Linked DNA regions of Neurospora crassa OR74A. The protein of the gene in region 2 binds, or shares a complex with, the protein of the main gene of each other region. Links are inferred from orthologs where the notes say so. Each region holds a gene or a part of one and is shown on either strand. Other genes may lie near its edges. The genes, in order: NCU04336 and NCU05714.

Region 1 (7,211 bases), on a different chromosome or scaffold from region 2:
TCTGCTGGGGATTGTGGCCTCGTCGTCGTTGTCATGGCGATCCTTCTTGGAGCGTTTGTCGCTTTTGGATACCAGACTCAAAGAGGACGAGTTCTTTTTCCTGGAGAAGATGAAGCGAGGCTCAATGCCTTTTTGTGCAGGTCGTTTGCTTGCCGAGTACGGATCGTTGGCATCGCCGGGAGGTGGTAGTTGGCGGGTGTAGAACTGTGACGCGGCCAACGCTCGGGAGGGACTGGATTCACGAGACGCAGGCTGAGATCTACTGGGGGAACTGCTGCCGCCGGATCCAACGGAAAACAACCCTCTGCGATGTTCACCAATAGTGATCTGGGGACGATCTCGGCCATCTATCGAAGTCGGCCTGGAAGAGCTCCGCAGCTGTTCGTCGGGTGTAGGCAGCTGGACATTGCGGAGAGAGGTAGGTGATGTCGGTTCGTGGGAAGAATCTTGAGGAGTGATGAGGTTGGCACTCCGCCTTTCTTGCGCCAGAGCGCTCTCGCGGCGAAGTTCTCGGTCGACGTTGTCGGTTCCAGCCGGCGTGAGAGGAGGTGTATGCATTTCGTGGCCCCTGACGTGCGGAGTAAGAAGCGGTGAGTTGCGACCTGCCGAGCTCCGTGTATGTTCGCGACTGGGAGCTCTTGAATCATCTTCGTGGGAAGGTGTCTGGAGATAGCAAAGTATTAGTCCTCGCCCAAGGGGTAAAGACGCAGACGCGAAGAATGGTGACTATGCATGCATGGATATATGGTGTGCAATCAGACAAGAGACATGGAAAAAGCCAGCAAAAGCCACCGAGCTGATCTTGGTTGCACAAGCCCCCCCCGGAAGCGACGGACCAAGGCAAAAGCAAAACTTGGGAGATGAACAAAGGAAGGAAGCAAGAAGCGTAGCCCCTCACGTGAAATTAGGATGGGCTTACCCTTGAAGCGGGAAGCGAGAATGCCTCGTACTGGAAAAGGCTTATCCTTCGCTCCTGCAGCGGACAGGCCTTCAACCTCTCGGCGATATCACGAAGCTGCTCGGGGGTGACCTCACCCGGTTCGCCGAGGGTGACGTCTGGTGCAATGGTTGGTGTCGATGTGGTGCCCTCTGGCGTGATCTCTTCGACAGTTGACTTGAAGCGGACAGCAGGCTCGGTTTTGGATGGTTCAGCGGGAGTGACTTTGACCGATTGCGGCTCGACAGCTGTTGGAGTAGACTACAAGTCAGCGAATTGCTTCAATCCAATGCTTGCTCGTTCTAGTCCCCGAGGATTGGCGTAGTAGGGATCAGAGATGAGGGGTTGCCGTTGATTTTTTATTCGTGTTTTTTTCTTTTCCAATTCTTCGTCGTTGTTTCCTTTCTCCTTACCTTGGAACTGTTCGTCCGGTTGACGCTGCTCTGACTCTTTCTCAGCGGTCGCCATCTTTTTTTTTTTTAGGTGTTTTGTTGTTTTTGTTGGGTGACTTTGATTTCTTGGTTCGAATTTGCGCCCGTCTCCGCAAACTAATAAAACTTGTAAAATCCTGGCAGGAATCCGAATAACGTCTGGTGTCTGGCCCGCCCTGGAAAACAGAGATAAAAAAGATGGGATAAAAGACCGTGTGATGCAAGATGCAAGGGCCAGACAGGTGACAGAGCGACAGAAGATGCAAGACAAGACCAGACCGGCAAGCAGACGCAGCGGCGGAATGGGCGGAAACTATGTCAAGTGGAAGCAAGGGAAAGGCAAATGGGACGGCGGCGAAAGAAGAGTCGGGGCCAAATAGATGACGGCGATCTCAACTGTCATGGAACTGCAAAGCCTGTAGACAAGGCTTGGACTGGTCACTACTAGTACACTATGTAGGAGGTGAATAATGGGGTTTCCACTTTCCACCGTGACTTCTGATTTGACTTTGCCTGGCCTTGACGATTCCTTGTCGATGCTGTGTGCCTAGGCTTCAGTTCTTGTTCACTTGGGACAGAAGCGGCCCGGGTTCGGCGAAGAAATGGAAGTGTGAAAGATGGCGCTCTGTTGCGTCGTGGTGGGGCCGAGCTATGTACATGACAGGTACTTACAGGAAACGTTGGCTGCAGGCGGCGGGAAACACGGGTACCCTTGATGGACCACCAGCCAGTGCACCCGCCTGGGAGGAGAGGACCTGAGTTGAATCTGAGAGCGGGCACGCCGGCACTGAGATCGGGCCAAGCCGGCTTTCCTAGAATGATTGAATTTCAGACGGATCCGCAGTCACAGACTCCCGTCCTCACAAGGTGAACGGTCTCGAAGCCAAACAGTTTGAACGTGGCGGCGGGCACCCTGTCTGGGCGTCAGTGTTCCCAAAACCGCAATAGGAGTCCCGTCTTGGATCTTGGTCTTTGTCATACACTACACAAGTACACATTGGAACCGGGAGCGGTCGGCAACCTGGGGTCAGGTCCCTGATCCTGTCCATCGATGTCCTCTTCCATCTTGTCCGACTTCCTTTTCCAGCTTTGAAAGATGCCGAGCGATTGCAGCGCCTCCCCCTCTAAAACGCCAATGACCAGCTGCATTGACGCAGTCGTAATTCCTGCCAGGACATCCATTCCATCACATCTCTGTTTCCGCCGCCCCGTGTTGTTCCTCAAACACTGGGCAGTTCACCCAATGACTCGAGTGAACACCTCAGCCGGTTGTGCCTTGCGTCCTTGGCTGTCATCCTCGTTGCCCTGCGTTTCAACTGAACAACAGAGAGTCAAGTATGAATCCCGCAGCAGCCCCGACCACCGTCAAAGCGGCCTTTTAGAGCGCCGCCGTGTCCGAAAGACCGAGGCACCGCAAAGGCATGGATGACAAGTCTAGGTGGTGTTGGTGGTCAGCTTTGTCTCCAGTGACTGTCCTGATGTCACCCAACCTTTTTTTTCGATGGACTGCCAACGGATATGGTAAACAGCTTTCTATGTCGATCTCTACCGCCGAAAACCAGGTCCTTATCGCTCGGTTCGGTGTAACCCATGTCGATACCCCGCCATGCTGCGGGAGGTAATTGCCCGAATGGTTCTAGAAGCCATTGAATGTAATTGCAATCGTTGCACACGTGTAGGATATTAAACAATCATCCATTTCATCTCGTTAGTATTGAAAGCATGAGATGAACACCATGGCGACATGATACCGGGGCTTCGCCTGAGTGGTAAGAAGTGGGCTGGTGGATAAGCACTTGGGCGAAGCGGATGTTTGTTTACAAAACCCCTTTTTATATATGTGTGTGATTTGTCTTGCAGTCAGCTTAGCCAAAAGCATTATAAACACATCTCACCTACATTCAGGTAAGCATAATACCCGTTGGGCGGTCTACCTTGGTGACCGCCAACCTTAAAACTTAATCCTACAGAGACAGATCCTCGTCATACGCCTGCGTGTTCCACAAACACAAGCTATGTGAGCCAAGGTTGACGAAGCTGGAGTACGTTGAGGCAATGCAAACGCAAACCGGCAAATGCCCATATATGCCATGCCTGCCATCAGCACCCTTTTGTGGAAGCCTTTCCCAAACGATCATACTCCGTGGACCAACCAACAGCTCCAGGCACCGCTGTGCATTTTGAGATTTTGCCATACAATAATGATACAAGCAAAGATACACAGAGCCACAAGCTATGGCTATAGTCCGCATCCAATATTGGTAACAATGCCGTGGTCTATCCACCTAAAAGAAACAACCGTAACGCCTTCGTGCCCCCAAGCCCGTATAATGTCTTTCAGCGTATAGCCTCTTTCAGGGGATAACGTTGATACCGATCGACCTGGCCTGGTAGATGACCGCCCTGCAGAGGCCCTCGAGGGGCAGGCCGGATAGACGGAGCTCGGACTGCTTGATCTTGGCAATCTCGTAGACATGTTTGAGGCTGACGGTGCCGACAACCTCCTTGCCGGGGTTGCTGGCGCCCTTTCTCTTGCCGCCCTTGCCTATCGGGGCCTCGGCGGCGTTGAGCAGAAGCCATGATGTGTGAGGGGTGCGGACATCGAAGTGGAACGAGCGGTCGGGCCTGACGGTAACACGGACGGGCATAGGGGTACCGGTGTTGATATGGGCGGTTCTGGCGTTGAACTCCTATACAGATTTGAGCGCATGTCAGCTTGTGTTGTGGATATTATATGGGTGGGCGCATGCAAACCGACCTTGCAAAAGTCCATGGACTTGATGCCCTTGGAACCAAGGGCCGGACCGACCGGGGGACTCGGGCTGGCCTGACCGGCGCCGACAATGAGCTTCACCACCTGCTCAACACCACCAGCACCACCTTTTGCGGCCTTGGACATTCTGGCGACTCTACTGCAGATACCCTCGAGGGAAATTAAGTTGGGAGGAGAACGGAACGGTAATTCGGCGCGTCTGCAGTCGCGTGTTACACTTTCGAGGTCGGTCGGGTATCCTCGTTCGCGACGGCGGCAGCAACGGCGGCGGCGACGCCGCGCGCGGCACCTCAAGCTGGGCCCAAAAAAAAATCAGGGCGCCGGGCCGGCAACCGTTGCAGCCAGGGTCACGTCAGCCACTTCTTCAAAGCCTCAGCCACACACTATTTAGTGTAAAGTGCCGCAATCAGTCCCTTATCGCCGCTTTTCAGTGCCGTTAGTGGCTTACAGTAGTACTAGTACAGCATCGACGCCGAGCCCGCCCGTCAACTGAAAGTCCCGGCCTCGCTCGTCCCCAATTGCTCTCCTACCCGTACTACGCCCCCACTTTTTTGGACCTCGTAGAACTCGCACCCCCTAAAGTGGGTGCTCACGGGTACTACGGCCACACCAGTAAAACGGCCAGGTCAGGGTTAGAGGTGCAGTTTTGAGGCTCGATTCGTAGGGTAAAGCACAACTTCCCAACATATAGAAATTTCTGAAAAATGAAAAGCTGAACGGATACATTACTCTGTCCTGACTATCTTCTAACTCTTTCTTTATTCTCAATTAGTTGTTGAAATACGTTGTGGGCGTTCACTATTTTGGTATCGTTTATCTGATTCGCACCTCTAACCCTGGTGGCCGTTTTAGTGGTGTGGCCGTGTTATTCGTAAGCACCCACTTAGGTGGGTGCGAATTTGCGAGTCCCAAAAAAGTGGGGGCGTAGTACGGGTACCGGGCGTGACTTGGATTGATCATTCCCGTCATTGCCTGCCGCCTGCCCTGCCGCAAAGGTGCGTTCGAGCTGCTGCAAGTCTGCAAGGGAACACAGCATTGCGAAACCTGAACGCTCCAAGTGATTGCAGACCCGCTGTAGGAACCTGAAAGGGTCCAATCGATCGTCAAGTCCTCAGGTGATGTGGAGAGTTGGGCGGAACAGTGACGTGCACCTTCAAGAGCCAGTGAGTCTTCTTTGCTGCTCGACTGCCACGCATCGAGGGCCACGGCTAGAGGCAGTCGGCCGCGGGGAAGCCCAAAGGTACGTACTTGTAGGAGATTTGGGACAGACTGGGTTGCCCCTTCTGTTTTCCATTGGCTTTTATCTGAGCGCGGCGCCATCTCAGCTCTGCCCCATCTTTCTCGACGGCGGTGAATGACTTTAATCTTGAACATCAAACTACCTGGAAAATTCTCACAACTAGACTCATTTTCGCCTCGTTGTCTTGACTTTTTGCTTCTGTAATCTATACTCTTCCCATTTCGCCCTATACCCCCCCCCCCCAGTCTTTCATCATGTTCAAGTGGGCGCAAGCGGCGTGAGTACTCCAAGCACCACCCCCACCATCCGCTGGACGCAGACCTCTAACGACTCGCTTGTAGGTTGGCCAATGTCGCCGGCACCAAGGAGCCTATCTACGGCCCCGAGGCTATCAGGTCTGTCGCCGAGGAGGCCAAGACAACTCCCTATACCGAAACCACCAAGGATGACCTGAAGTGGCAGGCCATGGAGTCCACTTGCGTCGAGACGCAGTGCTTCTACTTCATGACGGACAGCGGCCAGCTCGCCTTTGCCCAGGTCATCTACTCTAACGTTGCGTAAGATTCCCCATTGCACGATTCGCCGTCAATGTGGCGCGCTCGCAAACTTGGGCCTTGTATTGACCTGATGGCACAACAGTGGCATCCGCACGACTTGCCAGTTTAACTGCAAGGTCTTCTCCCTGGATGGATCCAAGCCCCACCTCTGGTGCTCTACGCCCCTCAACAACCACGAGTTCAGCGAGGACAAGACCAGCTTCTACGCCACCGATTGCGCCGTCGAGCTTTCGGAAGATGGAAACTCGTACACTATCAAGTCGTTGAACGATGAAAGGTCGATTGTCAACGTGACCATCAAGAGGACAGCGCCTGGCTTCAAGATTGGTACATCCGGCACAACACTGTTTGGCACCGACCTTGCCAACCCTTGGGGTTCCATGCGCCACGTTTTCTGGCCCAGGTGTGTCGCTGAGGGCACGATTGCCACTCCGGATGGTCCCGTCGACTGCAAGGGACGCGCCATGTTCGTCCACGCTCTGCAGGGCATGAAGCCTCATCACGCCGCGGCCAAGTGGAACTTTTGCAACTTCCAAGGCCCCAACTACTCTGCGGTCCTGATGCAGTACACAACTCCCCCTTCTTACGGATCGACGGTCGTGAACGTCGGCGGTATTGTCAAGGACAATGAGATCATTTTTGCCGGCGCCGAGGGTGCGGTCACGCATGTTGCGATCAAGGGCGACACGGAGAACGACTGGCCCGAGCCGACTGCTATCAAGTTTGAGTGGAAGGGTACTACCAAGGACGGCAAGCAGGCCGATGCTGTTCTAGAGGGCGAGCTCGAGGATAAGCTCGACAGGATAGACGTCATGGCTGAGGTGCCGGGATTCGTCAAGCAGATTGTCGCGGGTGCTGTTGGCACAAAGCCGTACATTTACCAGGTATGTTGTTTTGCTGATCACTCATTATTTGGACTGTGGAACTGACATGAAAACAATATAGTACGCGCCACAAAAGAAGAAGCTCACTCTCAAGCTCAAGCTTGGGGAGGAAGAAATTTCGGAGGAGGGCTACCTGTTCAGCGAGGCTACCTTCATTTCCGCCTAAATCTAAGATGTGGATGAGGAAGTAATGACGGTTTTTTCTGGGTAACACGCTATATCAATGAGGGCTGGTATCATGGTTTGGAGTCGTTGAGAGATGCCGATAGAGGTGCTTGGTCACTCGTTGGACGGTTTGTCTCCTGCATACTGTTTATAAGGACTCGATAATTTGCTCCGTCTCGGTCTGGACAAGGAGCCCGCTTTGCATAGTGGATCGGATATAACAT
Region 2 (7,525 bases):
CATTACCGAGTTCGTAGCCAGGGTCTCCAGGGCTCAGCGACAGGTAATAGGCAAGGGTTTTGGTCCGGATAAGCGACGTCGGGTACGTCGAAGCTCCCTCGCCATCGGCATCGTCAGCGGCGAGTATGTTTCGAAATTCTTGCAATATGAATTGGCGACTCGGCCTTTCCTCATCTTCTTGGCTGGGGAGACGGAAAGATGATGCAGCATCATATGTGTCGATTTTGCTCGGTTCCAGCTCTAGGATACGAGACACCCTGTTTGGCTATTAGTACGGGCTTAGGAAATCAATGTGGTTTACTGTTTAGAATCACTTACAGGTCGGAAGTGACAAATACCTCAAGGCATCGCCAGTGCCATCGGTACCCGTCACAAAGTAGGAGATTGAATTCGGTTAGAGTCTTGAGGTGTTGACGACACCATCTCAGACAAAGCTTTGGAGTCCAATGTTTTGAGCCGAAGTAATCCTGGAGGCTGGAGAGCATGTATCTGATGATTTCAACATGTACCAGAAAATCGGTCTTGCGCTTCTCCATTAACTGCTTCTTTGTTTCCGGTATGAGGCTTCGTGCCGACATTGTGACGAATCAAGTGACACTCTGGTTCGCTGAGGACAGACCACGGTATCTGAAGGAGGTTCGGTCTATGTTGCGATGTTATCGTAAGATGATAAGCTGAAGGTCTGAAAAAAGGGTACCCAAGAAATGTAGCTGGCGTACGGATGACTGTATTTCGAGGACAACTTTGAAGTGATAGTGTTATCCTTGGACTTATTTTGCTAAGCTTTCGATGGTCCAGCACTCCAAGAGGCAAAGAAATGACAGTAAATAGGGGATTGTTGAATAGTAGTGTTGAGCTGGAGAGACTGAATTGAATAGGAACAGAGGTGAGCTAACCACGAAGTAGAATAAAGAATAACTTGCAAAGTCAGAAAGAATACAAGCAACATCGAACAAGGCCGGCTACGACTTTTCAAGGAGGTCGTCGTGCCAAATCTGGTGATTGTCATAACGCCCAAGTCCGAGTGCAAGGGGTACCGTAGAAACTCGCGCAATTGGCAAAACCGATTCCCTCTTTCAGCGCCGGACAGTAAGCACAGGAAGAAGCATACTCCTGTACATATGTCCGCTCAATTAGTAAAGGCTCTACAATCCTAGCCAACACTATCCTGCCTGCGTTCCAAAGCACAGGCTCGGACTCGGGCACTACAGGTCATCCTGTACTATGCCCCAAAAACCTCTTTTTTTGCGGCATTATGGTTTTGCCAATTGCGCGAGTTTCTACGGTATGTGCAGGGTGGAAGTTGCAACTTCCTGTAATAAAGGGCAGGATTGGGGTCTGTTCAGGTGGCCCGGAAGGAGACGGAATGGCAGCGGGGAAAGAAAGCGCGTCAAGAAGTCAGCTGTTGGCAGGCAAGCACGAGAGGACACCTGCATGAACCCCCATTTCGAGACTATCGATGAATGACCGGTTCTGCTAGAGGGAAGGGGACGACACGCTGGGATAAAGGAAAGGACATGCCTCTTTTTCGTAAATGATCGAACAAGGAGCTGGGACCAAGAACATGCGACATGGTAACTCCAGGTGACAATACAAATCCCAACTCACACGAAGTTGGGAACATTGCCACAGCTGAGCCGCTTCATGTTCAGGTCAAGCAAGACTAGAAGGAGATACAATGTGCCACAGCGAGAGAGAAAGTCAGGTCACAGGTTCAAAGACGACAAGAACAATTGATGGCGACCTAGAAGTTGATGTTATGATCCCGTGAAATTCGGACAGTTGCTGTGGACACTTTGGAGATGTCAAGGAAAGTACGTCGCACCTCATTCGCCGAAGGAAGAACGCGAGTTGCGCAAACGGTTGGCATTGAGAAGGCAGCCAGGAGAGACATCGATGTGGACATCCTGATAATCCATAGAGACAACGACGTTTGAAAACATGAATCAAGACCGAAGAAAGAACCGTAAACATATTGAACGTCAAATGAAAGAGAAAGTAGTCTGGCATTCAAGTCGTATTGAAACTGACCCAGTTGCTTTCCTAAAAGGAAGGTGCTATCCATGGGTGGTGAGGGCTTGACTTGTACACGAAAACGATCAGGTCGCTGCCGCAAACATGACCACATCCATGGGATCTTTCCCGCTCGCAAAGAAACCCATTTATCAGCCCCAAGACAGAAAGCAAATATTGAGAGACCACATTTTTGAGGCCCTGAGAGGCTGTCCAATTGACATGAAGAGCAAAAAGCTCGGTCGCCCAGGTAAGTTTGTAGAACGAACGACAATACCCCAACTGCAGACCTACGAAAAAGCCACACATTTTCATCAACGGGAACCACTGTGCCAAAAGATCACAGAGTTCCGTTATGCCAGAGAGATCAGTTAGGGAACCCGACCTTATATAATACCTGTAGGCTACAGCAGAGGGTACTAGAGGTTTGCGGCCTGGGCGGGAAGGGATCTTGTCATCCGATGTTCCCGTCGGTGAAGGGCGTGCCGACCGATTGCCGGTGGCAGGAGCGGTGGCAGGTACCTGGCGCGTGGTTTGGGCTTGGGACTGACATTCCATGCTTGAAATTCAGACAGACTTGAGTGAAAAGCCATTTCGGAGCGGCGCTTCTCTGCTTGACTTGGAAAGTTCCATCACGATCGGTTATGTTTATCCCGCGAAATGACTGCACGCTGTCCCTTGCTCTGTTCTGCAGTAAACGTTATCCGACAGCAAAGAAGGCTTAACAATTACATTCTTTCTATCAGCCATACAAACACCTTCAGTAAATCAAAGTAACATTCAGGCAATTCCAGCGTGTATGTCACTCATGCCATTCTCAACACTCCCGAACCCCACCAGCTCGATTGGCTCATGGCTGACACAGAACCCCCTTCGACACGCCCTACTTCAGGACTTCTGTGTAATTCTAGCGTAGGTCGCAGTTGAGACCCATCTATAATAGGTTTCTAGTATGAGCTGCTCTTGGCTGCCTGTTTTGCGTTGCTCTCAAAGGCAATACTTTAAGCATCCCACAGTTGTACTTGCACAATATTTTCTCAACGCACCTCCAATGGCCTCGGGACACTCAATTTATGATCATTCCGACTGGGTGGAAAAATTCCCTAAACTCGCACCAGATGTTCTTCAGCCTGTTAAGCCGCGGTACAATCACTCTTAGGGACTTTCACCGCACTGAACCTTTGACATGTTCTTGCATATCCCGTGTAAGTGATATCGAACATGGATATTTTGGAGCATCACGGTCCCTTGGCGAAGGACGTCGGATGTGGACCAGCTGCTGACTCAGCCGCCCATTCGCAATTGACCGAGACCAACGAGGGCGCACGGTCCACCCCCGCGACGCAGGTGTCGGAATTTGGCTGGGCGCGGGTCCTGAACTTTTGTTTTCGGGGAAGTGCCGTTGCCGTGAGGAACGGAATCCGGAAGACTGCCCGACCCAGACCCAACCCACTCCCGTGTCCTCCGCCTCCGTCATGCCTCCCAGGTTACCGCTCGCCCAGGCGGCGCGATGCTGCCAGGCCTCCCTCACAGCCCGCCCTTCGGTCCCAGCCTCGTCGCCGACGTCGTCCCTCATTTCGCTCTTTGCTGCCCTCTCCGTCCAGACCAGGAGCGCATCCATCCTCGCCAGCCTGTCCGACAACCGGGGCGCCTACCACAAGCGCATTCGCAAGGGTCGCGGTCCTTCGTCCGGCTATGGCAAGACTGCCGGTCGCGGTACCAAGGGTCAGAAGGCCCACGGTCATGTTAAGCCATGGTTCCAGGGTGGTCAGACGCCCTTGATCGTCTCTCACGGCCGCAAGGGTTTCGTTAACCAGTATGCCGTCCCGACTTCCCTACCTCGCTTGCTATGCGCCATGGCCAAGAACTCTCCAGCATGCTATCCGATAACCTATACCTACCAGATACATGATGGAGACTAACCATTTGTGTCTTTCATAGGTTCGCTGCCGACATGTCCGAGCTTAACCTCGAAAAGCTTCAGGAATGGATCGAAGCCGGCCGTATCGACCCCACGAAGCCCATTACCCCCAAGGAGATCATCAAGTCCGGCATCATTGGCAGCAGCATCAAGGACGGCATCAAGCTTCTCGGCCGCGGCAAGGAGAGCTTCAAGATCCCCGTCACCATCACCGTATCGCGCGCGTCCGCCTCCGCCATTGAGGCCATCGAGGCTGCCGGCGGCAAGATCGTCACCCGATTCTACACCAAGGAATCGCTCAAGCGTCTGGTAGAGGGCAAGTCTCTTCATACCGACAAGCCGCTGCCGGTGGGCAAGGAGCACGTGGAGGAGATCCTGGCGCAGGCGCGATCGCTCAAGAAGAAGTACTACCGCCTGCCGGACCCGACCAGCCGTTGGGATATTGAGTACTACAGAGACCCGGCGCATAGGGGCTACCTCAGCCACCAGCTTGCGCCTGGCGAGTCGCCCAGTTTGTACTTCAAGGTACCGACGGGCGGCGAGAAGGTCAAGGTGGTCAGGGCCGACAAGGTCAAGGCCAGCAAGACCGGGGATGTGGCGTCGGAGAAGCTCTTCTAATGAACACGAACATTGCCTGGGATGGCGGTTTTTCCGAGACTCGTTGTTGCGCTCTTCCTCGTTGTTGTATGATAGGTACTGGGCCCGTTCATGGCTCTGTGCTTTGTGTTGTATTATTATCATCCGCGTATTGTCAGTCCAGCGTCTTGCTCCTCGGATCAGTTCTATTTGGGTCCTTGTACATCATACAGGTCTCACCTACGGGAGTGGATTCCCACATGCGGCCAGCACTCCACTTGCTGACAACGCAGGTGAATCATGAAACTCCCTTGATTGACGTGTTCCTGCTTTTGCGATCCATCGTAGTTCGAAGATGGGCTTTATAAAGTAAATATCACTTGGCTGCGTGTTGACATGGTCCAAACGACGGATCTCGAAGACTTGCTGTCCCGTACCTGGCAGTCGGAAGAACAGCCATTGGCCAGTGACATGTCAATCCCGCAAGCTGACCCCGGTCAAGTCCCGGTCCTGGGCGGTCCCCGGCCATTCCTTCCAGGGCAGCTTCCACGGGGACGGTGAATGGGGGCATTAGAAAATATGGGTCTGATCACGTGCCAGGTCGCTTTTGGTACCTTCTCCATACCAGCTTGTAATTACGTCCGAAAACAGCCGTCAATACCCGACTTCTCTGCAAATTACCAATTAGTGTTAGGGTTAGTTAGGGTTAGTTAGGGTTAGTTAGGGTTAGGGTTAGCTCCGGGGGTGCAGGGGGCCGGTGAGAGGCCCCCGCATGTGAATGTGAATCGTTAATATTGACATATGTCAACCATATGCCGACCATATGTCTTGTAATTACGGTAATTACACGGGTGACTTTCGATACCTTCGGCTTAAAGAAAGTGGAGTATGCACGGACCAGTCTAATGCCCCTAATCACCATGCCCAGCTTCCACAGCGGGAACCGTCCACTGAAGCCACTGTATGCAGCCCTCCCGAACGGGATTGTGTCAGCTTTGGAGTCGGCGCGTGCCCTCCACCCACTCTGCCCGCCGCGGCGTCATCATTGATGCATCTTGACTTTTCTTTCCTCGAGCGGGAGAGACCAAACTTTGTCGTTGTCAACATCACGACCTGCTTCAACTTTTTTCTTCATTTCTGTGTTTCATTTTCTTCTTTTTCTTCTTCTTCTTCTTCTGGCTGAGGTTGCCATAATCTCATCATTAACTTGTTCACTCTTTGGTTCTTCCATCTTCAGCCCTGGCCCATTGGGGTTGTTCCTTGCAGTGCCAATCCTGACGGAGCTTATATACCTACGTCTACACTACCAGTGGCGGTACCTACATCCAACAGCCCTCCAACAGCCCTCCGTTGCATCCAGATTACGAGTCGCATTGCGACGCTGCTAGTGAGATTCTCTGCGTCGACTGTTGCAGAAACCGAGCCTTGCAGAGTGGCCTCACATTTTGCTTCAACCTCGCCTTGCGCCGAACATCTTCACTCCTCCAACCGACTTACACCGTGAACCTACCTACCTACCTTGGGTTGTCCGCCCTCCAAGCTCTCTCCAGCCAGCACAACATGTCGCTCTTTGGCAGCTCCCCTCCCAACGACGGCTCGGCCGCCCTCAACCCAGCCAAGACCGCCAACAGCAGCCGCTCGACCCTCTTCGATAACGAGGCGCCCACCACTCGCTCCGGCAGTGCGCTATTCGCCGACGATGACCACGATTCGCCCTGGGACATGCCCACCCCGCGCAAGCAGCGCAGCCGCGCCGATCTGATCCGCAACCTCCTCCCCTCGGGCGACGTTCCCGAGAGCTACATCGAGACGTTCGACGCAGTAGTCCGTACAGAGAACCGGAGCACAAATGGGCGGATCACAGCCGGGGGGGTTGCGCGGACGCTGGCAGCGGCCAAGCTTGGCGCCGATGACCAGGCGCGCATAATGGGTATCATCGCCCCTGCTTCGGCCTCCGCTACAGGCGCTGGTGGTGGGGGTGATGGTGCCCATGGTGGGGAGGCTAACAGCTCCGCTGCTGCTGCTGCTGCTGCTGTTGGCTTGGGGGACTTGGGCAGGAACGAGTTCAACGTTCTCCTGGCCCTGATTGGCCTTGTCCAAGAAGGGGAGGTCGCCAGCTTGGATGGCGTGGATGAACGTCGACGAAGTAAGTCTTTTTTGATTCTTGTTTTTGATTTTTATTTCTTTCCCTTCTGCCGACATTGTCCAATCCTGTTTTTCGGTTGTGTATCTTCTTCGGTCTACAATACGTTTCTGCCTGCAGTGCTTCGTCGCAACAAAGTGCCGGGGCGCCTTTGATTTTCCGGTTCTTCAGCCAGTTGCTGGCTGGTCATCCATCCCAACCCCGTTGCAACCCAGACGAACCTCGAATGGCGGTCATATGTCAATCCCCCGTTTGTTGATTGATTGTTCCCGCCGACTCCGTTAACCTTTTTGCTTGTCCGTCTTTTTTGTTCGTGCTCTGCTCAATAACACTGATATTGCGTTTTGCTTTTCAAAATACCCCATATTCTCCCCATCACATACATCATCTTCCTTCCGTGTTAGTGCACTGCTTCGCGCGCTCCGAAATCCGCAATCGCCTTGGTCCTAGGTCAACGCCATCGGGGGTGGGTCCGTTAGTTCTTCAGTGTCATGGCAACTAAGCTAACCTCGTTGCGTAACCGCTATCCAGATCTTCCCCAGCCCAAACTACAAGGTCTTGTCAACGAGAACGTCCAGCCCATGCTGCCGAATTTGTCTGAACTTGGTGCGAAACCTCCACAACGACCCGTCACACCACCAAAAGCCCCCACCCCGTCTCCTCCCAAGCAACAGCAGCAGCAGCAACACCAGCCGCCCACGCTGAGGAAGGTTTCAATGGAGTACCCCGAGGACCCGTGGAACGCGCCCGATCTTCACAAAGGTCATAACCATGGCCCATTAGAACACTCGACGGGACATAACGGCGCCGCCGACGTCCCTCGGTCGGTCGCGAACGACTTGAACGGCAACGACGCTGTTTCGTACAGTACG

The links.
Region 1: NCU05714 (region 2) and NCU04336 share a complex: the UniProt entries of both Schizosaccharomyces pombe proteins name them as parts of the mitochondrial large ribosomal subunit. The link is inferred for Neurospora crassa OR74A from reciprocal best matches to the Schizosaccharomyces pombe genes mrpl10 and mrpl19.

The regions. Positions count from the first base shown.
Region 1 is NC_026504.1:3,731,918-3,739,128, reverse strand, and holds NCU04336 (mitochondrial 54S ribosomal protein YmL19), read right to left. Parts: upstream 4,437-7,211; 5' UTR 4,268-4,436; coding exon 4,127-4,267; intron 4,059-4,126; coding exon 3,723-4,058; 3' UTR 3,188-3,722; downstream 1-3,187. Other genes in the region: stk-30 (protein kinase), read right to left, coding at 1-663, 920-1,185, 1,351-1,405; NCU04337 (survival factor 1), read left to right, coding at 5,636-5,658, 5,723-5,938, 6,021-6,822, 6,884-6,988. UniProt on the Schizosaccharomyces pombe protein: Component of the mitochondrial ribosome (mitoribosome), a dedicated translation machinery responsible for the synthesis of mitochondrial genome-encoded proteins, including at least some of the essential transmembrane subunits of the mitochondrial respiratory chain.
Region 2 is NC_026503.1:602,375-609,899, forward strand, and holds NCU05714 (mitochondrial 54S ribosomal protein YmL10/YmL18), read left to right. Parts: upstream 1-3,363; 5' UTR 3,364-3,488; coding exon 3,489-3,829; intron 3,830-3,954; coding exon 3,955-4,552; 3' UTR 4,553-5,191; downstream 5,192-7,525. Other genes in the region: NCU05713 (hypothetical protein), read right to left, coding at 1-257, 319-578; NCU05715 (sorting nexin mvp-1), read left to right, coding at 6,071-6,656, 7,185-7,525. UniProt on the Schizosaccharomyces pombe protein: Component of the mitochondrial ribosome (mitoribosome), a dedicated translation machinery responsible for the synthesis of mitochondrial genome-encoded proteins, including at least some of the essential transmembrane subunits of the mitochondrial respiratory chain.